Drosophila melanogaster: one gene and its partners. The protein of the gene in region 2 interacts with the protein of the main gene of each other region in a pairwise test. Each region holds a gene or a part of one and is shown on either strand. Other genes may lie near its edges.

Region 1 (6,855 bases), about 20 Mb from region 2:
ATCCGCAAAACAAGAGGCCCAGGATAAGCCAGATGCTGATACTGCCGCCTTTCCAGAAACTCGGCTTGGCTACCCAATTGGTCGAGAGCATTTACAGGTTTTATCAGTCACAGAAGAATGTTGTGGACATAACAGTGGAGGATCCATCTGAGGATTTCCAGCGTTTGAGGAATTTTGTGGACGCGCGATCTTGCATGAAATTGAAGTCGTTTGCACCAGGCGAGATAGTCAAGGGCTTCAACAAGGAGATGGTGCGGGAAGCTCGCGAGGCTCTGAAACTCAATCCCCTCCAGGTGCGTAAGGTGTACGAGCTTTTGCGTTTATTCTACACCAATGTGAAGGATGAAAAGGAGTACCGACCCTATCGTCTGGAAGTTAAGAAACGGCTTAACGCGGTCTATTACAAGCAGTTAAAGGATTTGAAGAAAATGGAGCGCTTCAAGATGGACACTGAAATGCTGCGTGCTCGCCTGCCAACGGTTCAACAACGAATGGAGCAGCTGCATGAGGAATACCGCGTGGTCGAGCAGGAGTACCAGAGCACCATTGCCAAGTTGAGGGCCTCGTAGGTTCTGTGGATCCAAAAGGTGTTGATTAATTTATTTCGTTTCTCTGTTTTCAAATATGTTGATTACAAAATACATTATGTTGCTATAAGCCTACAGTAGGATTCCTTTGAATAAATATTACAAATTAAATATATATATATATATTATGTATTTATAAGATATCAGATTACCGTGTGCACGTACATAGAGGAGCAATGCTGGGCGTGGGGCACTTGAGCAATTAAGCGTATATAAAACAAAACATTACGGCTAACGAGTACGATTTATACAGGTTACAAATAATTGTGATCGGGAAGTACACATGGGATACGATCATTATCGAGGGTGCTGGGCCAGCAGCCCGTACAACTAGCACGACCCGTATTCCTCCATCCACTTTTCGAAGCGGGCAACGTCATCGGCAGAGACGGACTTCTTGGTGCGCAGACGGGCGTCCTGGAAGTCCTGCAAAGTAATCGGCTGGTCAACCTCCTCGCGTCGGATTTGCTTAATCTGATCGGGAGTGCGTCCGGAAATGAGGCGCCGCATGGCCATCATGGAGGCGTCCCGGCACACGTTGCTTATGTCCGATCCCGAGTAGCCCTGCAGTTCGTCGCCGATTATTCCGGTGTTCAGACTGGGCGACAGGCATACGTCCTTCAGGCAGAGCTTGAGGAGAGCCGATCGGGTGCCCTCTGGAGCATAATATTACTATTATTTACTGCAGGAAAGGAAGTGGCTCGCACTTACCGTTTGGGAGAGGAATATAGATTCGCTTTTCAAAACGTCTCCGGAAAGCCTCATCGATGTCCCACGGGTGATTGGTGGCCGCCAGCACCATGATCACCTTCTCCTCCTGCATGCTTGCGTTGAGTCCGTCCATTTGGATGAGCAGCTCGGCCTTGAACCGCCGACTGGCCTCGTGCTCCGAGTCACTGCCCCTGGAGGCGCATAGGGCGTCTATCTCGTCGATGAAAATGGTGCTGGGCGCATAAAATCGGGCCATCTCGAACAGGAGACGCACCAGCTTCTCGCTCTCTCCTCGGTATTTCGAGGTCAGGGTCGAGGAGGACACGTTGAAGAAGGTGGTTCCACATTCTGTGGCCACCGCCTTGGCCAGCATGGTTTTGCCTGTTCCCGGCGGACCGACCATCAACACTCCACGCCACGGCCGGCGGATTCCCTTGAAGAACTCCGGCATGATTACCGGAAGCACCACTGCTTCCTATTTGGGTAAAAAAAAGATGTACATACATATGAAGTTAGCTACTTTTAATTTAGGTCTTCTGCACGCCTCTGAGGTGCACTTTTATATTTGTGGACCTCAATTTTAAACCTATTCTAGTCATAGATGTCACAGATATATATATTTTACTAGTATGGGTGCATATCGGAAGTTCCGATTCAGAACATAAAGCTCACCTGGAGTATTGTCTTGGCCTCATTGAGCCCAGCCACATCGGTCCACTTGATGCACGGATGGCGCTGCAGAATGTCCTTCTCCAGGGTGTCCACCAGATGAACCTCGTAGCCCAAGGGCGAGAAGTGCTTGGCCTTGGTCTTCGGTGAGCATTTGGGCGTGTTGTGGCTGGTGGCTAGGGACTGGGCGTGCGAGTTGTCTTCCAGGGATGTGGTGGCGTCTTGGTCATCCGAGTTGGAGTTTTCGTCCAGCGAGTTCTTCTTAACCGGCTTGTGCTTCAAGTTAAGCTGGGTGTTTGTGCTGAGCTTCCTGGCCCGCAGGCGCTCCACGGATCGGCTCTTCCGCAAGGCGGCGGTCATGGCGGATGCCCTTGCTGGTCGCCCCAGGCGCATTGTGCCCATGCTGGCGGCGGGTGTAGGTGCTCCTGCGCCCGCCAATCCCACGTTCCCAGCACTTCCGTGGTGGCTCTGGCTGAGGCTGCTGCTGTTCGCATTGCTGTTGATGGAGGGTAAAGTGGGCTGCAGCTCGGGATCCCGCCGACGCAGGGAGGACACCCACCGATTATCCTGCTGCTGCGACGGAAATGGCATTTGGGCCGTCTGACTGGCTCGCGGTTGTGGTGCCACTTCTGCGGCGGAAACTGCATTTTAATGATTATATAGGAAACCCCGCCACCCGGAGCACCAACCTTGCGTGGGTAGCCGCTGCTTGCTGCGCAACGGAACACTTCCGCCAATGCCCAATCCCCCAGGTGCATTAGAGCCCAGGTTGTTGACGGGCCGGTGGCGCTCTGCTGTCGAGGAGTGGCCGCCTTCCGAGCTCTTCTTCAAGCTGGCGTTCCGGGAAGGTCGACTGGTGGCCGTGATCTTCGTGAAGCCAAATGGGGATAGCGAGTCGAGGATCAGGGAGTCCATCATCCGGGCCATGTGCGACAGGCTTGTCGGAGGTGTGGAAGAGCTGGAGAAGGAAAGGGTATTCATTGATTGCTCTTACCCAGTAGAAGATCTAAATATTATAACAGGAAAGAGGAATCGATAATAGGCCTTGTCCTATAATAACATAATATGATCAATGCCATTAGTGCCAAACCCAAATATTTTCGTATTTAATTAGGTATTTTGAGATGTATCTTTAAGATGTTATTGTCAATTCTATCTTTATCTTTTGGGAGAAAGTTTTGGGAAACTATACTATACGAATCTAATGAAGCCACTTAAGGATTCCCAAACTATCTCATTACAACTCCTTATCTGTAAAAAACATAACATATAACTGATAAGGATATAATTAAGAGCCACCAAACAACGCAAAACCAAAACCCATGGGCTCATTTTTAAAACTCATAGCTAACTACCCATAACTATTAGGTGGCTCCATGGAGCTGCCATTCAACTTGGCCATGTCGCAAAGGTCATTTGCTTTATCAGCCGCGGACAAGTGGCTCGCGTGTCCTGGTGTGTGCACACACATATACCGGTTGGAATCCTCGTGTCTAGCCGCCTAATATTAGTTAGCCCTTGCGGAGGACCCTCCCATCCTGCCCTGTCCTACCCTACCCTGCCACTCCGCAGACAATGCTCGGGAATTTCCGGGAAACGAAGAGTTAGTGGCGCCTCCCATGGGGGCGCCTATTCAAACCGCAGGTGGGGTCAATAAACTCGTTGGCTCCTGGCCAGGTTATTGACGTGTCGGCGACAATTGTTAACTTTTGTATTCGCATTTGAATTGTATTTTCGACGTGTTTTCGACTTTGCATGCGTCATCTGGAGGCATTAAAGGCTTTGAGAGCATTCCGGCGGCAACAATGTAAATCTCGATCTGCAAAGTGGGCCGCAATATATTTTACGCCTGGCTAATTAAGTTGGCAGCAGCACAGCCATAATTCCCGACCATATTGCCTGACTCCTGGCACATTCGCTTGGTATTTATATTGCGGGCTGTACTCGTTCGAATTTGGGTTAATGTTTCCTTCATGTGCTCGCCCACGATTTCTTTGATTCTCGGCTCCTGATTCCTGATGGGAATGATTAGTGGAGCGGTTAACTAGGCCACTGCCTATTTGTTCCCATTACTATGCACAAATCAATGGGCCATAATCTAGGAATTACTTGCATTTGAACTGAGCAATTGATTGATTGGCAAAGTGTTACAAGGCCGGATTGAGCGTGGAAAAACCCCGGCATGGGAAAGTCCAGTGATGGCGGATTTCCTTGGACTCGTAGTTATGATGGGCCACTTGAAATCGTGTCACCAAGGGGTGCTTATGCTAATCCCATTGGCACAACACAAGACATTTCGTACTATGCAAATTACAGCAAAATGCCAATTATGACTGGCAGAAATATACTCGCGAAAGGAAACTGGATGGGGTCAAGAAGGTACCCGGTGGCTTTCTTGTATGCAACAAAGGAAATACTTTGGGTTGATAGTTGACCAACCAACGAGCTAGTTACCAACTGCCAGGTCAAGGAATTCAAATGCGGAAGTAATCCAATTTATAGTGGATTTCTTGTGCCCACAGATCTCTACTAGCTCTTACCATTGGTGCAGATCCCAGAGCGAGTGGTATGGAGTGTGCCGGTAGGTGGGAACGAAGGGTACCGCCACCTCGTACTCAACCTGGACGTTGGGCGGCGACTGGGGCCGCGTGGCCAAGGCGTTTGAACGCCCCAGGACGGGATTGGAGCTGGTCAGCGATCGCTGGCGCATGAAGGAATGTTGCGCCGCCGCCGCCTGCTGCTGCTGCTGATTGTAGAGACTCGAATTGTTGTTGAGCAACTGGGCCACTCCGCCGCTCGGATCCACGGCTGTCTGGCCCATGCCGAACCAATTCTGTGCACTGGTGTTGAACATGGCGCTGTGCCGGCGTCACACAGATTAGGACGAGACACAGACACTTCACTATTAATTTAAAAACACACGCGGATATGTTCGGGCGGAAACTTTGCTACCTGACAGTCTGCGCCTGGAGCCTTCGATTGGCTCGCACTCGGAGTTCGAAAACGCGACCCGACCAGCCGACTCGAGGGTTGCAGTCCAACTGAAACTGACCGCTTGACTGGACGACGCGTCCACAACAAACCGACCACCACTACCATTCCGGTATGGAACGGACCGGACCGGGTAGTTTTCCCAGTTGCCTGGTGTGCGTCCGTGTGAATGCGGATTGAGGTTAAAGGAAGTTTCGCTTGGGCGCTACTTTGGGGGGCGGTTTCAATCATGGTAAATTACGGGGAAAGAGTATCTCGACTTGGGGGAAAATAAAGAAATCGCCGATCGGAGCTAGGAAATGCCATCTTTCTAAATATTGATTGAAATTCAAATATATGGATTTCAGTTTAATGGGTTTATGTTTGTTCTGCTTATATGCTCCTTGTATATAGCTATTGATAGGTAAAAAAAAGAATATATACAATATATAAATAAATGAAATATATAATATTTCTACTAATGTCTAGTTGCTTATCGAAGTTTCCTCATTGTCTAAAGGACATTCGTGCTTCTATGTAAGCCCACAGCACTCTCAACTCCTCGGGTTACCCAACGCGCTGGACTGTGGTCAATGCACGCTAGCTTCTGGCTCAAGATTTCATCGATTTCTGGGGAAAGCAAGGCGTTCACTCACTCGCGTATGCCCGACTATTTACTCAAACGGCAGTGGTTTCCCAATAATCTGCCGGCAATGTAATTTAATGGCAGGCTTGCATGCGGCCAAAGAAAGCCGGTTCTTGAGTTGGCCTCCCCCGAGGACCCAGAAACTATAGCATACGTTTGAGAGCACCGCCATTAGGAGGCTTGAAGTGGTTCGTCCACATTTCAATGTGCATGTAGGCAGAACCCGATAATCCGGAGGTGAGCCACAAGCGAAGGCCGTTTCGGATGCGCGCACACACATATAGTATCTGTATATGTATCTAAAAATCAGCTGCAGCGCGAGATAAAAATCGATTGCGGGGCGACAGTCATGGAACGCTCAAGTGTCTCGGCACGCCTTGCGCCTCCAACTGGCACCCACCCTTTTGGACCTTTGCCGTTGCGAAGCACTCACCCCGCAGGACTCATCACGGGCAGGTATGTGGAAGTGGAGTCCACGGTGCGTATGGTGGTGTTCCCTCGCAGCACAATCTTCTCGCGCGTGGTGCGCCTATAGGTCGCCTCCTCGACCCGCATTTTGCTCCACCAGTCGTTTATTATTTAAATTTAGTGCGAGTAATTTCGTAATTTTGAATTTTTCACAATTTTTTTTCCTTAGTTTTCGTGTTTACTTCGGTCCGAAATGGTGTGTTGGAAAATTCGGCATCCGTTCTTCGCACAGGCAATGTACAAATGGAAAATTAAGAGAGCGGGCGGAGCAGGGAGAAAAGGATGCTGCGGAAAAGCTTTGGCTCTCCGCCACAGCTTTTTCTCTCTCTGTCTCAGCTTCCTGGCTCTCCGTCGCCAATTGTAAACAATTGCGCAATGCTCGCCTGCTGTTGCTCCTCCACTCGCCTCGATGCACAAATGGTCACTAAAACTGGATTGTTGTGGCCAATTCGGCCTGCCAGCCGCATTGCAACGGCCTGTGGGGTTGTGTTGGATTGTATTGCTTTGGGCGAAGGTCCTTATTTGGTGGTGTTTTTCAAGAAATAAAGCTTGAGAACTTGTATTTGCCTCTTTAAAGTTATGATAAATATTGTAGATGAGCATATAAACATTAAGTGACTTAATAGGTATACTTATCAAAATTTGTTTTAAATCAACCGCAATAAAATGCTATGTTTAACCCACTCAGAAGAACAAATATATATGCATCTTTATTGATCGATTTTTAAAAAACTACTTAAAAATTCGAATAATAAATTACGATTTAAAAAACATCATTACATTAAAATTCAATTCTCAGTTTAG
Region 2 (4,523 bases):
AATCGCAGTCAAGTGAAAATGTCAGCCACTCAAAATGTGTGCGCCATTTCGCATATATAATAAATCAACGTAAACCGAAAAAAAAAAAACACGAAATGAAGAAAGAAATGGAAGAGTGAAATAAGCTGAGCGGAGTTTATTTTAGGTTTAACGATTTGGAAATAACGCCACAAAACAGGACGACAAATTATTTGGCCATCATCTGCAGAACTTTCGCATGGCATTGGCAGATTGGCGAGAGGGTCTGAAAACTTATTAATTTTCACAAAGTCAGCCACACGCAAAGAGCACGCGCACACACACACATACACAAAATTGTGAAAAACTGTGACGTTATGCACATGAGTGAGCAAATAGCAGCAGCCACATCAGCAACCAAAATGCATAGCATACTTTGCTGGGCAATAAGTATTTGAGTTTTTGAAGGGACGCACTATAAGCTGGATTTTTTTTATTTTTTTTTTATTTAATTGACTAGCTGTTATGTTATTAATTTTGGCCACAAAAAGGTACCATTCAGACTATAGTGGAATGGCTGTGAAATGAAATGGTAACATGGTGAGAAAAGATGTTAAAAATATAACAAAGCAACAATAAATATTTGTACGTACTTATTTATTGCCTGTTTTTTGATTTACAAATATTTAAAAAAAATCTTATTTTTTTCTTATTAGCCCTCGAGCAAACGTTTATACTCGATCAGAATTTGCTCCTCCTGATCCAAGGGCAAGTTTAAGTAGTGGTTGTTGTTCTCGGCGAGGTTCTCGTTGAATCTCTTGAAGGCATTGTAAGACTCAATCTCCGACTTGGCCTCGCTAAGGACAGTCTGGAGCAAGTTCACCTTGCTGTTGGATAAGTTTACGAGTGGGGTGGTGCTATTTGCAGTCGCATTAGTTGAGCTCGTAGGTTCTTGAACCTCCAAAACTTTTGTCATGGTTTCAATAACATGAAGTAATTCCGATTCGTTGGGGAAACTTTTCAATAGAAATTTCAGAGATTTATGGAAACTGTTGCCCGTAGTTTCCAAAGCATCTCGAGCGGAAATCTCCGAAAATCCAAGGTGCTGTAGAGTAGTAAGTAACGATTCATCGACAGGAGGAATGGGCGGCAGATTGGCCCTAAGTTCATCTGAATGACGCTGCAGTAGATCCAAACTGCGATCGAGATTATTTTTGGTCCTCTTCAGAGCCTCCACAACCAAACGCCTTTCGTAGCCCATTTCCATGAGCCTAATAATGCTGCGTGGATTGACCCATTCTCCTCCTTGACCGGCGAAAATCATCTCTTGGTTGACTTGCCTCTCGGCAGCCGAGTTCTTTCGCTCCTCACTGATTCTCTCGCTGCGTTCCTGGATATATTGAATGGCCCTATCCACTTGGCCCGCACAGGATCTCAAGGCCAACCTGGCATCCGATTCCTCATAGCCCATTTCAACGAGAGTGCTTAGCTCAGTGTCATTCATCTTGACCTCATACAAGTCCTTTGTCGCCACCTCCAGTTTTTCGTAGGCCTCATCCCGGCGATTTTGGTGAAAGAGGAGCACACCTTGGAGCAGGTGCAGTCTCATGATCAAAGCTCTTTCCGGGCTACTTGGACCCTTAATCGAGAACAATCGAATGAACTGCTCGCCATAGCTCTTGACAAAGCCCCTCTCGCAAATATCCAAACGTCGCTGTGCATCTGGCAGTTGGGTGATGTTCTTCAGGCGCAGATAGCACCAAACAATATCTAGATTGATTAAGGCATAGTTATCCACTCCTTCCAGGAGCTTTGAGTCACATTGGGAGAAGAGTTCATCGGCCTCGAGTAGGATGAGTAGAGCCTCATCGAAGTTCTCCTTATGCATGGCAACTCTGGCCACTTCGTACATGCTCATGGCCATCAATAGGGATCGATTTTCCTCGCGTGGCAAGAAAATTGGACGTCCATCCTGATCCTCCATTTCCATAAAGCGATCTGCATCCGCAACTAACTCCAAGTCCGCACGAATCCTTTGGATACGTTCGTGCAACTCCTGACCTTCATTAGTTCCACCCACAACCACCATGAGGTGCTGATTGGTTTTGAGCCCCTGCGAGGCCAGTGTCTTCTGCCCATTGATGATGCGTCCTCCGGAGATGCATTTCACATGACTGGAATCAACGATATCCAACTTCTTGGCCACCTCAGCTTGCAGATCCGAGCCCAGTCCACCCAGCGAACACTTGATCTCCAGCATTTGCACGGTGCCACCCTTGCTGTCCACACACCGCACATTGAACGTGGCCAATCCGGTGTCATTGAACTCTCGGCGAGCCGCCAGCTTCCGCAAGGCACCATCTTGCAATTCGCCCAAGGCAATTCTGCAGTCCGACACACTGATGCCCAGTTCGCCACTGATGTCCCTGGCCAGGCGGTCCATCTCCGACTCGATGCTGCCCACCTCCTCGAAGTAGTACGGCTCCTCCCACAACTTGATATCACGCTCCCGCAGACGAGCTCGCAGCTTAATGAATATATTGTTTATCTGGGACATGTTTCGTGCTGTCGTGCCCGAATCGAACTAAATAATTTCTAAATTTATGACGAACATTTTCAACTCTGACAGTGCTCTTTCAGTGTTACCTTAACATCTGTTTTTGCTAAATGCTAAAAAATGCTAAATTATTATAAATTCAGAGACGTAAGTTAAATCCCTTTAATTGCAATTTATAATTAATTACAATTAATTTTCCATATCAGTATAAAGCTGTTCAAGAACCCTCTCTAGATACCGATTGTATTTATTAACGAATCTTAATCGAATCGCTTCAGTTCGGCTCATAGTTGGAAATTGAAGTTATCTTATCATAATGAAACAAAATTTATTTTCAATCAAATCACTATATTATTGTTCATAGGTTGTTGGGAACAAAGGCTCGAGAATTGAAATCTAATCTGCTGTAAGCTTAAGAGTTTTTTATTTTTTAATAATAATATATTTACATAGACTCGATGCAGACATCAATGTTGGGCAGAAAAGAGTTAAAGGACGCTGTAACTTTATTGGTGGCATTTACGAAGCAGGAACTGGTATCGGCTGGCAATTTGGCAATCAGTTTTAGGGTTTTATTGATCTTTCGGGTCAGCCTCATGGATGCCTTGAACAATTTCCAGAAGCATTTGGCCGAGTTTTTGATGGACGAGCCCACGGACTTATCCGTGGCACAAAGTTTCGAATGCAGATGCAAAATATCGTCGCAGATTTTGATAATCTCCTTAACGGAGTCCACAATCTTGGCCACATCCTTGGGAATGGCAGTGCCACAGGCATCAATAGCATCCACATAGCTGGTGCATGAACTAAGGATGTTTGTCACCTCCTTGATAATACAGTTGGTGCCTCGAACCGTTTTCAATGCCTTGCGAAGGATTTTAAGGCATGTTCTAATAAAGCCCTGTGCCTCCACATCCATGTAGTCAGTGTCATTGTCCAGTTCATCCAGCAACTGCTCCAATTCCGATTCAAAGTCGAAATCATAGTCGAAGTTCTCGTTCTCCAGCAATTCTATTGCATTGGCCTGAAACAAAGAAATATTTATTATATTTAAGTTAATTTTTTTTTAATTGGCAAATCTTACCCGCGTGGTCAGCAGACAGGTGGCCGAAACCAGAACCAAAAGGCAAACGGTGATGGCTTTCATTTTACTGTCCAATTAATAATATTTTCTCGGCCAGTAGTGAAGATCAGTTTATATACCCGCTGAAAACTACGTCTTATCAGAAATTAATCGAATTGCCCACTCCAACTATCTAATACCTTTTTTTTATACGGCTATCATCTAGAAATGTGTAATCAATCTACCTACCTCAAAAGTACTTATATGTATCTATCTATCAGCACTTATCAGCCACTTAAGATACTTAAAATATACATTTTCGATCGGTTAATTTTCATATTGCTCAATTGAAGTGTTTTAAATGAATACAAATCTGAAATGATTAATTAATTTTCCCATTTAAATGCAAACGAAATGTACGCTCTAAAAATGTCGAATATTTTTCTTGTGGCAATTATCACACAATATCCGTTGATGTCAGTGCGAAATTCACTTGGGCACCCTTAAGAATCGAGGCTCAGAACGAATTAAAAGCCATAAACCGCAGACAAAGAGGAAAAGAACCACAATTGAATGGTGGCTGCCACCAGATTTTCCGGGCACAATAGACGGCAAAAGGAAAAAAATTTGTTGCCATTGTCAGCTTAACGCGCTCGGTTCACTTTGTTCGGGTTATAAATGGTAACGTGTGGTTAAGGGTTAATAACTCCCACTAGGGGTGTGTGGAAAATAAGACACTGCCACCAGGTCCAAGACATTTCCAACATACAAAAGAAAGTTTCCGGCTACCCGCGACAACAGCAAGTGTGGCTGCTAATGAAAAGTGTCGTAAAAGTCTGTAGTAATATCGTTTGTAAGGGTGTTCGGGTGGTCTGTCATTAGGTTAGCTGGGGTCTTTCCAATTTTCCCGGGATGGGATGGCAATATCTCTCCGGGTAATAAAGT
Region 3 (5,118 bases), on a different chromosome or scaffold from region 2:
TAGATTATGTGCATAAATCAGGAAAAAAGCTAGCTATTACTTTGGGGGCTATGAGCCATGGAAAAGTTGCAAAACATTTTGCCAATCATAATTTTATCCATCACTCTTCTCTAACGCTAATTGTCATGGCCGGGGCGTAAATTATTAAATAAGAAAAGCAACCCAAAAACAACACTAAAACTTGCCAGAGATAAAAAAAAAAACAAATTGAAGAAATTCAAAATATTGCAAAAACAAAAAAACCAGAGGAGAAAAATTAAATAAAATGCCTGTACAGATGGGTCGACCCAACAAGAGCGTGAAGCTCATTATGAAGCTTCGTGTCCAAAACGCGGACAGCAATTACAAAAGCAACATAGCCAGTAAAACAATAACAATAACAGTAACAATAATAATAACAACAAGCCAGGCCAAGTCAACTCAAGCCAACACACAACACAACCCAAAACACCGAAAGAAGCTGGCTAACAAAAGGCCGAAAGAGCATGAAGAAATGAAATAAAACCAACACCAGATTCAGTCCCACTCCAGAGCACAAAACAAAGCTTAGCCCCATCCCATCTGATCCCAAACCATACCATACCATACTATACCAACCCATTCCCCAAAACGGCTGGCTAAATGAGAGTGAATCCACATTCATTGAAATTGAAAGTGAATCGTGCCACACGATCCGATCCAGAGTCCAGACTTGGTTACGAGTCCACTGCGATTGGATCCTCTAAATGACCAAAATAACAATTTACACACATTAGCTACATATATATAATAAAGCACATATATATATATATTTATATATAAATAACAGAAATCAGAGATTTTAGGAAAAACCATGTTTCTTTGGCAATCAGTTCGAAGGAGTTGTACTCTACAGCGAATCTATACAAATGTTTTAAATGGGCGAGGGAAAAAAATGCACAAGACATATTTATAAATTAAATATTACAAAATATGACTTGCCTTTAATAATTAAACTATCTAAGCTAAGAGAGGCATTTTCTTTTAATGATAAAAGAACAAAAGGCGTGATAAATTAATAATAAGAGAACAGATATTCTCAGATATTCTTAAATTAAGCAGGAAATCGTTAAAGCTGAGGTTACCGCAAAAAAGGCTTTTATTTTCTTGCCTTGAAAATAATGGACCCTTGAAATAAGCTACATTCCAGCAGCTAAGTGTCTTCAGAAATAAAAACCATAAAAAACTATTTGATGGCCTTGCTGCCTCAAGCTTTATTTTACATACATACACTGCACCTTTCAGGTTCCTTATTTTCCCCATGAAAATAATCCTAGTTGGGCAGAAAAACAGAAAAAAAAAAACAACCAACCACATGCTCGAAAAACCACGAAAAAGAAGTAGTTAATCGAAGGAGGAAAGCCAAAGCCAAGAAACGGTCAGCAGACGTTGCAGTTTCGGTTGGCTTTGCGGTCGCCGTTTGCATCGCAGCCAGGAGCTGCAGCCTCAGTTTCCCCACCAGATCATGACTGGCCAAACTTTGGACTTGGCTTAAACATTTCAATTTCTTCATGGCTACATGCTGCTGCCGCTCTTTGCCAACTGCTCAGCCAACTTGGCCGACTGCTCGGTCGACTGCGGCAGCAGCTGAGGCAGCTGAGGCGGCTAAAGCAGCAGCGGTCTTGATCGTCGTCTTGAATTTTACTTAATTTTTATTTCACGCGCTGCGCTGCTATAAAAGAAACTGCAACAATCGTTGTGGCATGCAGTAAGAGGTTCCGCGTCGAAGCAGCACCACATTGCCAGTAACCAGTAACCAGTAACAGCCAGTAGCACCTAGCCACCTGGAGCAGTGACAAAACCCGAAACGGATATACCCGAAATAAGCCACCCGAAAATGCATTCCAGTTGTGTGGTATGATCTTGTGACCAAACCGACCAAGTGGCCGTGATGGACATCGCTTAATGGTGTGTTCTCCTCCGATCTCGTTCGCAGTTAGTGGTCCTCATGGCCCTGGCTGCCCTGGTGGCCGCTCGTCCAGAGCCGCCTCGTGACTCGTACAGTGCGCCCCCCTCCAGCAGCTACCAGCCAAGTGGACCCAGCGGAGGCTACGGCGCCCCTGCGCCCCAGTACGGACCTCCCCAGCAGGCGCCGGTGATTCACAAGCACGTCTACGTCCATGTACCTCCACCAGAGCCGGAATACCAGGCACCCAGGTGAGTGGCAGGATCAAGGATCCTCTAAGCCAACATAAGTTCCAAAGATCGCGAGTAGAATAGGGTTCCCAATAAACCTATTCTTCAACCAAGTTCCGGAAAAGGATCTATGCATACTCGTTTAAAATTTTTGTCTATACTAGATGATAATTATATCAGACCTAAAAATGGAAAAAATCTTTAAAAATGTTATTTTAGACACATTCAGTTTAATCACAAAAGATACGTATTTAAGAGTTTAAGTAATAGTAAAATTATTTATTTTGCATAGTTTCACAAAATAGAAATCGCACTACACTCCCAACACAGTGAGTGAGTGAACAATCGAGAATTTCTTCTGATAAGCCGTACAATATAAACGTACATCCTGCGGTTTTTTTCATTTCACAACGTAATCAGTTCAAATTATTCACACCCCTTATCCAGCACACTTTTTTTTCGACTTGCGTGATTGTGAGCGGTTACAAACGATCTCGCTTTATTTGTCTTGTTCCACTTAAGATTGGAAAAATATGGGGAAAAAACACATTGTTGTGTTATGAGTATATAATCCAAGGCACTTATGCAGATTCTCTCACAATTCATCGGCGTAAACCAGGCAGTGCCGTCAACTCCCAAAGATAATAACTAGACAAATGTTGCAAGAGACCAGCCGGCAATCATCTAATCCAGCTCAGGGCCCTTTTCCACAGCTGTTGCCACATTTCCAGGGTATTTAGAGGGTCGCTTAAACGGAGGAGGAACATTATTTAATACCCGCGAAAACGAAAGCCATCCAACTTTCCTCTCTTTTCGCTGATACAATGTTTTCTGTCGTCTTCTGTCTGTTTTCAATTGGAGTTGGAAGCGATGTTAATTACCACGAGAGGGGAATGATATGGCTTTGCAGACCGCCAAACCGTGACTAAAACGTTACCTAAGCTCGCCGCAGCACTTGTACTCGTATATATCTCAGTACCATTTCCAAGCAAATTATCAGGCGCAGAGGGACAGGAACTCGATTACCATAGGTAGCTTTATGTAAACCCTCGTCTCGAGGCGGTTGTTGTGACAATCGCTGTCATCGTCACAATAGTCATCATCTTCATCTGATTAGTAAAACTGACAAGCAGCTGCAGTGGGTTCAACGTTGTCGGGAGGTCACCATTTTCGGGAGGTCACCATTTATGGGCATGCCATTTGCATGCACCTCAAAGAGAAACTCCTTTCTCCCGCATCGCGGTATTTGTTCGTTCAACAAGGCAAGGTTATAGGAAGTGTGGAAAGTCATTCCAGCCTGGCCGTGTGTAATTGAAATTTTTTTATTCAGTATGTAAATTTTTACAAGCCGGAAGCAAAAAAAGTTGCGTTATATGAGGATGTGGTGTCTTACTTTACCCATAGAATTCCTAAGAAATTCCTTAAATACAGATATAGCAGAACCTTTATTTAAATACATTTTTAAATATTTTCCCAGGAAACCCCTTTACGTGCCACCTCCGCAGAAGCACTACAAGATCGTCTTCATCAAGGCGCCATCTCCACCAGTACCGACCGCCCCTGTAATACCGCAGTTCCCACAGAACGAAGAGAAGACCCTGGTGTACGTGCTAGTCAAGAAGCCGGAGGAGCAGCCGGAGATCATTATCCCAACGCCAGCTCCCACCCAACCCAGCAAGCCGGAGGTGTACTTCATCCGCTACAAGACCCAGAAGGAGGAGACCGGACCCTATCCCAACAGTGTGGCGCCTCCAGCGCCCGAGTACGGAGCTCCAGCTGCCCCGCCCGCACCCTCTGCTCCCAGCAGCTCGTATGGGGCACCATCCCACTAGGCGATCCAGTCCAACCCGAATACCGATTTGCTTATCTCAACCCAACTCATGGCAAACTGCATATCTTATGTGTATTGTATTATTTTCTGTTTCAAGGACCTTAACGCGTGACAAAGTTTACCAAGCAACGAATCTCCCCCATCCCCTCTCCACACCCAGCTCATAGGATTATTACTCCTATAGATGAGTAATTCTTATCTCTGATGTTGTTTCTACCTGATGTACGAGAAGTATGTTTTCCATCTAGGCTGTTTGTTTCAAATTGTTTGTTTAGTCTTAAGTCTAGGTCTTTAAGCGAACGATGCGTTATACACTCACACAAAACACTCGAAACACTCACTGCGAGCTAGCCTTAGTTATCGATAGAGATATCGATCCTGATACCGATTAACGATATATACGTGGTACATGATTTTCATCACAAACGCATTTTCAAGTAGGCAATTTATTCCAATTTCATATTGCACATTTCGCACACGATTTGTCATTAAATAGAATGTGCGAAGCACTCGAAATGCAACAAAAAAAAATGAAGATTAAAATGATACTCAAGTATATAATGTTAAAAACACAAAACATCAATGGCTAAATAAAAGTTTAACGAATTATCTGTACAAGATGGATTTCTTTTTGTATGTTTCACATTGCAAGTCTTAACATATGTGTACATATATTTATATATATCTGTTTACTATACATTTTCATTTGCCTCGCAAATGTATTTGAAATCAGAAGTACAAGAAGCAACCCACATGCCACCGTTATGTATAGAAACGCAACGCTGATCTACATGTTCGTATAGTGGCTCTCCAGGATTCCATTTCAAAAAAGGTGCTCTCTTTCCGGAGGACACAGATATGAAAACGCCCTTTTCAGCCAGATCACTAATGCCAATCATATAAGTGTTGTCTTTGCTTAGTTGCGAAACGATAGCATTAAAGTCTGCTTCATTTATAATTGAGGCTAGATTACCTCCCATCTTTTGACATGCGCTCAAAGCACTGGTCCAATTTTGTTGGACTATGTCTTCGATGTGCAAATATCTCGATCCGATTCGCTTGAACCTATGTAAAATATTTATTTTCGCAGACATATTCTTCAGCGACGTCGTTATACTAGTCAATGCTTCCTG
Region 4 (5,103 bases), on a different chromosome or scaffold from region 2:
AACTTTATCGATCTTTACGACTTAATATAGCATGCGAAACAAAAACGCCACGCGATTCTTTTCTGTCTCTTTTCGTGTTTTATATAAACTGTTTTTCCAATGCTTTCAAACTTAAGAATCGAATATAAGCAAATTTGAATATTTATTACTTATGGTAGTACATTATGAAGATATATTTTTTTACTAATGTGAAAACATACTAGCAATACTGTATATATATATATATATATATATATATAGTATTATATTAATCATATAATAATCAGAACAATCACAGATTATCAAGACAACCAGGAATCCGATATTTAGATGCGAGGCAAGAAGATATTTCAAAACTTAGTTAGCGTATCGATCGATTTCAAGTAAAAGGAAAATCGAAAAAAAAAAATTTCGACATAAAAGCTATTTAAAGCGTGCCAACCACTTTTATTCGTATCATTCCTAAAGCTTGTACAGCTAGTTGTCTTATTGAATTCCTTATTGTTTTGATTTCACAGACCGAGTTAAAGCAAAGACAATAGAATTACAAGATGCGTAACGGCCATTCATTGGTTTTGCACTATGCAGCCACTTTTTTGTTGACGGTCAAAATTGCTCTCTCTCCGCTTGAGTAAAATTGAGAGCGGTATAAAATCGAAAAAAATAATACACTTGCTTGTGTGTGCTAAAAGAATAAACGAGAAAGCAAAGACACTAGAATAACTAGCGTCTTTGGAGAATGTTTGTATGTGTGCGTACTTGTGCTAGAAGACGATTTTCGGGCAGAAATCAATTTTGATCTAAGATCCGATATAACATATTTAGAGTTTCGGGCAATTTCGTTGCAAAATGATCTACTCAAATAATATTTAAACATGTATGCCTTGACTATTAGATTTTTAAAGTGTTTCATATAAATGTTTCATATCTTAATTTGTGTTTATAATTAATAATATGTAAAACGGGACTGACGACATCTTTTGCGACATCAATTTTTAAAGTTGCAATGTGAAATATTTAAAAAAAAAATTACATTTCAAAAAATAAATTTCTAAATAATAATAAAAACATACATACATACATTAAACACATAAAGAAAACGTAGAGTTTCTTGACAGTCTCAAAATTCTTTTCTTTATATTTAATATTTATAATTTGTTTTTTGATTTATAAGTAAAACAAAAATATATTTCATAAAAAAATAGCGTTTGAACATTTTTACCTTTAAGGTCAAAAATTCAACTTATTTCACAGTGTGTAAACAGTTTCTTGACAAACTGTATATACAATATATAAAAATACGTTGACTGTTTATTGCAAAAATGATTTCTTGAGACACGAAGTGCGAACATAAGCACCCAACAATCATTGTCTCCTTTATTCTTACGCATACAGTGACAGCCGAAGAGGGCAGCTGGCTGTATATCTTTCCGCACTCTGGCTCTTAAACAAACATTCGAGAGAGCCTGGAGCCATCTCTAGAGCCAGCACCAAAAAATCGAGAGAAAAACAAAACAGAATGCTGTAGTCGAACGTAAAATTGCATACATTTTTTGGGATATCGATAGATAAAGATAAAATAAAAAGGATTTAAAAATGGTTTAAAAGTGTGGGCGTGACCGTTTTGTTGGTAAAAGGGGAGGCGTGGTTACGGTGTTTTTGGTATACCGATAAAAAATTGGCAAGACAAACAAAAATGAAAAAAAATCTAAACATTTTTTTAAAGTGTGGGCGTGACAGTTTGGGGAAGTTTTAGGGCGTTAGATTAGGCGTGGCAAAAAGTTTTTTGGCATATCGATACAAATTTACAAGACTAATTAAATTATTGAAAAATATCCAGAAATTTGTTCAAAAATGTGGGCGTGGCAGTTTTTGGCGGTTTAAGGGCGTTAGAAATTTTTTTTTTGTAAATCGATAGAAATTTACAAGACTAAAAAAAATGTGAAAAAATATCAACACATTTTTTAAAAGTGTGGGCTTGACAGTTTTGTGTGGTGTGTGGGCGTTAGAGTTTGCGTGGCAACATGGGTCACAAACTTGCGCTGCGTCTATGTTTTTAGAATCTGTATGCTGAATCTCAACATTTTGGCTGATCTTGATGCTGATATGGACAGACGGACATGGTCAGATTGTCTCGATCAAGAATATATGTATTTACATATGTTTGTATATACTTTATATAGTCGGAAACGCTTCCTTCCTCCTGCTACATAGTTTTCAACGGATCTAGGAACCCTGTTACTCTACGGGTATAACGAGTATAACAAATAGCGTATAGTCTGAATGACTAAAGGATGTAGTGAAGTAAGTTAAAGTAAACTTTACATTGTGTGAATTAACAATATGCTAGTGTAAAAGCGGCTTGCGCCGCCTTCATTGAGTTAAGCCTGCATATTACCTTTTAAAAGAAAAGTAGTGATGCAGTCTTGGTTTAAATGTAATTTTTATACTAACCAAAATTTCGTATTGATTCAACTTTACTGTTAAAGTTAATAGAAAATAAATGAAAAGTTGCTACAGCACCGACGAACTATTCATAAAAAAAAAATTCGAAAATCATATAACTGAAGCAAGCCCATGGCCAGATCGACTTGTCTAGTAATCCTGATCAATAATATAGTTATTTATATACATATGCTTAAATACTTTATGCATTAGGGAAACGCTTCCTTCCCTATAATATATTCTCCAACAAATCTTTAAGATTGTATGCAATTACGTATGTATGTATTTTTGGTGATATCAGATTCACTCCTAATTAATATTCTTATAGTGTTTTTGTACGCTCATACAAATTCAATCCAAGGAGATTGAATACATGAAGTTCAATATGTACAGATAAGTTTTCACATATAATTATTTTTATCACATATCTCAAATTTTTATCTGATTAACGTTTATAAATATGAACATACATATGTTCTTACATTCCATATTTATAATTAATTGATCAATTCCCACGTTAGATATGTGTGAATTTCATTTATCAGTTCCTGTGAAACTTACATTACTTTTATCTTGTCGATTTGCTATGATTAAAATAAAACAACACATAAAGCAAAATATCACTCAGGAACCTTTGATGCACAAAACATTCATTTGTTTGTATATCCACTTATACCGTACATCAACAGTGTTGTGACATGTAACGATTTTTGTCATGTGCGGAATGAGTGGGATTTTGGAAAAGACTAATAATTTCTTCGAAATTATATAATTTAATTTAACTTCAAAGACCGAAGTTTGGTAAAGACTTTCTAAGTCAAGCCGTTTCAAGATTTAGCACAACATAATGTAAATTAAACAAATTTTAAAATCTTTTTAAATGAAGTTATTCATTTTATCACCATATTACAATTTTTTAAATTAAAGGTATCTGATTGACCCCATGCGTAAAAGTAACTTGATAAGTTTACAATTGCAAATTTTTGGTTTACCCAAACCAAAAAACTGTAATAATTCATAAAAACAATTATCTGTCTCGCTTGTTTTTACGGTATGACAGGCACATTTTACCTACTGTCGCATTACGCCTAAACTGCCAAACAATTTTTCATTTTATTAATATTTATGCCAAAAGCTGGCATTAGCTGAATAACGGGTAAATAAAAAAATATAAATATAAAATAACTAAAACAGTTTATTTTACTCGGCGTTATTAATTGAAAACCGGGTTCTCCTTACCGAATACGGCTCGTTCAAAGAATAATAAAGAATAATTAGATGCTTAACTGCCATATATTGTTTTTGCAGGTTGCACTTTTTTTGATGACATCCGATTGTTTATTGCGACTCCGCGCGGCAATGTGCTTCCTTCTACATTCTTGGCTTTGACTTTACGCGACTGAACTGCCTCTCAGTTCGTTCAACGTATGATACGATAATATACTGTTATTCTACCGCTCGTTTTACATACGCTTACAAATGGTAATATTGTACCTAATTTCAACAACTGTCCTTAATGTTACCATTTTTCAATTAATTTCTCAAAAATTTACACAACATTTCTCATGTATAAGTTTTGACAAAATCTTTTTTACATGTCGGCTATTATTAAACATATCGTTCAAAATCGCTACACAAAACTCGTCTTTTCATTGCTCAAAAACAGCTAATAAACAATAATTTGCAACAAGCTCGCAAAGCTGTTTAAAGCTTTAACACTTCAATTAAGTAGCACTCCGGCATAGGACGTCGCTGCCCCCTCTTGGGCGAGCTATCTGGCTGGACTTCTATTCTATGTTTACTACGATAATAGATAGCCATCCTGAACTAACAAACATAGAAAAGTTGCAGCATCTAAGAACATGTCTGAGGGACACTGCACTTGAAATATCGGATGGCAACTATGCTATAGCATTGAATTTGTCTGTTTGTTTAATATTCCAGGCACACATTACTGAGATTCTAGGGCAAGGGCAGTTCAGAATGGTTCCGTTTCAATGCTTTGTAAACTGTGTGATAAATTCAACGCTCATATTCGCGCGCTAAATGGAATGGGCTCAACGACACAAATCGTTGGATGAATTATCGCCCAAGTACTTATCCAAAAGCTGGATCCGGAAAGTCTGGCGAAATGGGAGCAGCATTTGGAGAACCAGTCTTAAAGAATTCAATTCCAACATGGCATCGTTTCTGGAGCAGTGTTGCAGGACGCAGCCGTAACAAGCTATGCGTCAGTCAACCAGGTGCAAAGTAGCAGAACATCTGATTTGTGTAGGTCTGTCCTTCTTGCCTCAAGCCTCAGCCCTGCGACCTGTGAGTTCTGCAATGTTTCTGGTCACTAAATTCATTAATGTAGAGCTTGAAAAACCTGACCACCGCTAATAGATTCATAGAAGCGAAAATCTTCGCATTTTAATAAATTGCTTTAGGACCGGAAATAAAATGAGGTAGGCAACTCCGATAAAAAGTTTAAGAAAAATGTTTTGTTTTCTTTTTTATCTCAAAATTCTATTTAATTAAATACGGGTACAATGCTTTTTTCTAGGATATCTTTTCCATTAATAAAATAATAATCTTCTTTAATAACATACTTTTACTGCTATATGACATAGTGTTCAAATTTCAATCCAATGAATTTAATATAAAATATATAAATAACAAGAGATAAGAGTAAAAATA

Evidence for each region.
Region 1: the proteins of CG5111 (region 2) and kat-60L1 interact in a two-hybrid assay, tested with the Drosophila melanogaster proteins (one large-scale study listed by BioGRID).
Region 3: the proteins of CG5111 (region 2) and TwdlE interact in a two-hybrid assay, tested with the Drosophila melanogaster proteins (one large-scale study listed by BioGRID).
Region 4: the proteins of CG5111 (region 2) and gus interact in a two-hybrid assay, tested with the Drosophila melanogaster proteins (one large-scale study listed by BioGRID).

The regions. Positions count from the first base shown.
Region 1 is NT_033777.3:5,781,183-5,788,037, reverse strand, and holds kat-60L1 (katanin p60-like 1), read right to left. Parts: upstream 4,934-6,855; 5' UTR 4,822-4,933; coding exon 4,508-4,821; intron 2,926-4,507; coding exon 2,657-2,925; intron 2,609-2,656; coding exon 1,971-2,608; intron 1,774-1,970; coding exon 1,299-1,773; intron 1,244-1,298; coding exon 918-1,243; 3' UTR 573-917; downstream 1-572. Other genes in the region: Hat1 (histone acetyltransferase 1), read left to right, coding at 1-569.
Region 2 is NT_033777.3:25,504,356-25,508,878, reverse strand, and holds CG5111 (uncharacterized protein), read right to left. Parts: upstream 2,605-4,523; 5' UTR 2,516-2,604; coding exon 671-2,515; 3' UTR 600-670; downstream 1-599. Other genes in the region: CG5107 (uncharacterized protein), read right to left, coding at 2,961-3,539, 3,600-3,662.
Region 3 is NT_033779.5:7,857,438-7,862,555, reverse strand, and holds TwdlE (TweedleE), read left to right. Parts: upstream 1-1,716; 5' UTR 1,717-1,855; coding exon 1,856-1,873; intron 1,874-1,954; coding exon 1,955-2,175; intron 2,176-2,435; exon of another isoform or gene 2,436-3,631; coding exon 3,632-3,986; 3' UTR 3,987-4,599; downstream 4,600-5,118.
Region 4 is NT_033778.4:5,125,241-5,130,343, forward strand, and holds the start of gus (gustavus), read right to left. Parts: upstream 3,082-5,103; 5' UTR 2,986-3,081; intron 2,284-2,985; exon of another isoform or gene 2,163-2,283; intron 2,103-2,162; exon of another isoform or gene 2,009-2,102; intron 1-2,008. UniProt on the Drosophila melanogaster protein: Involved in the localization of vas to the posterior pole of the oocyte. Required maternally in the germ line for efficient primordial germ cell formation.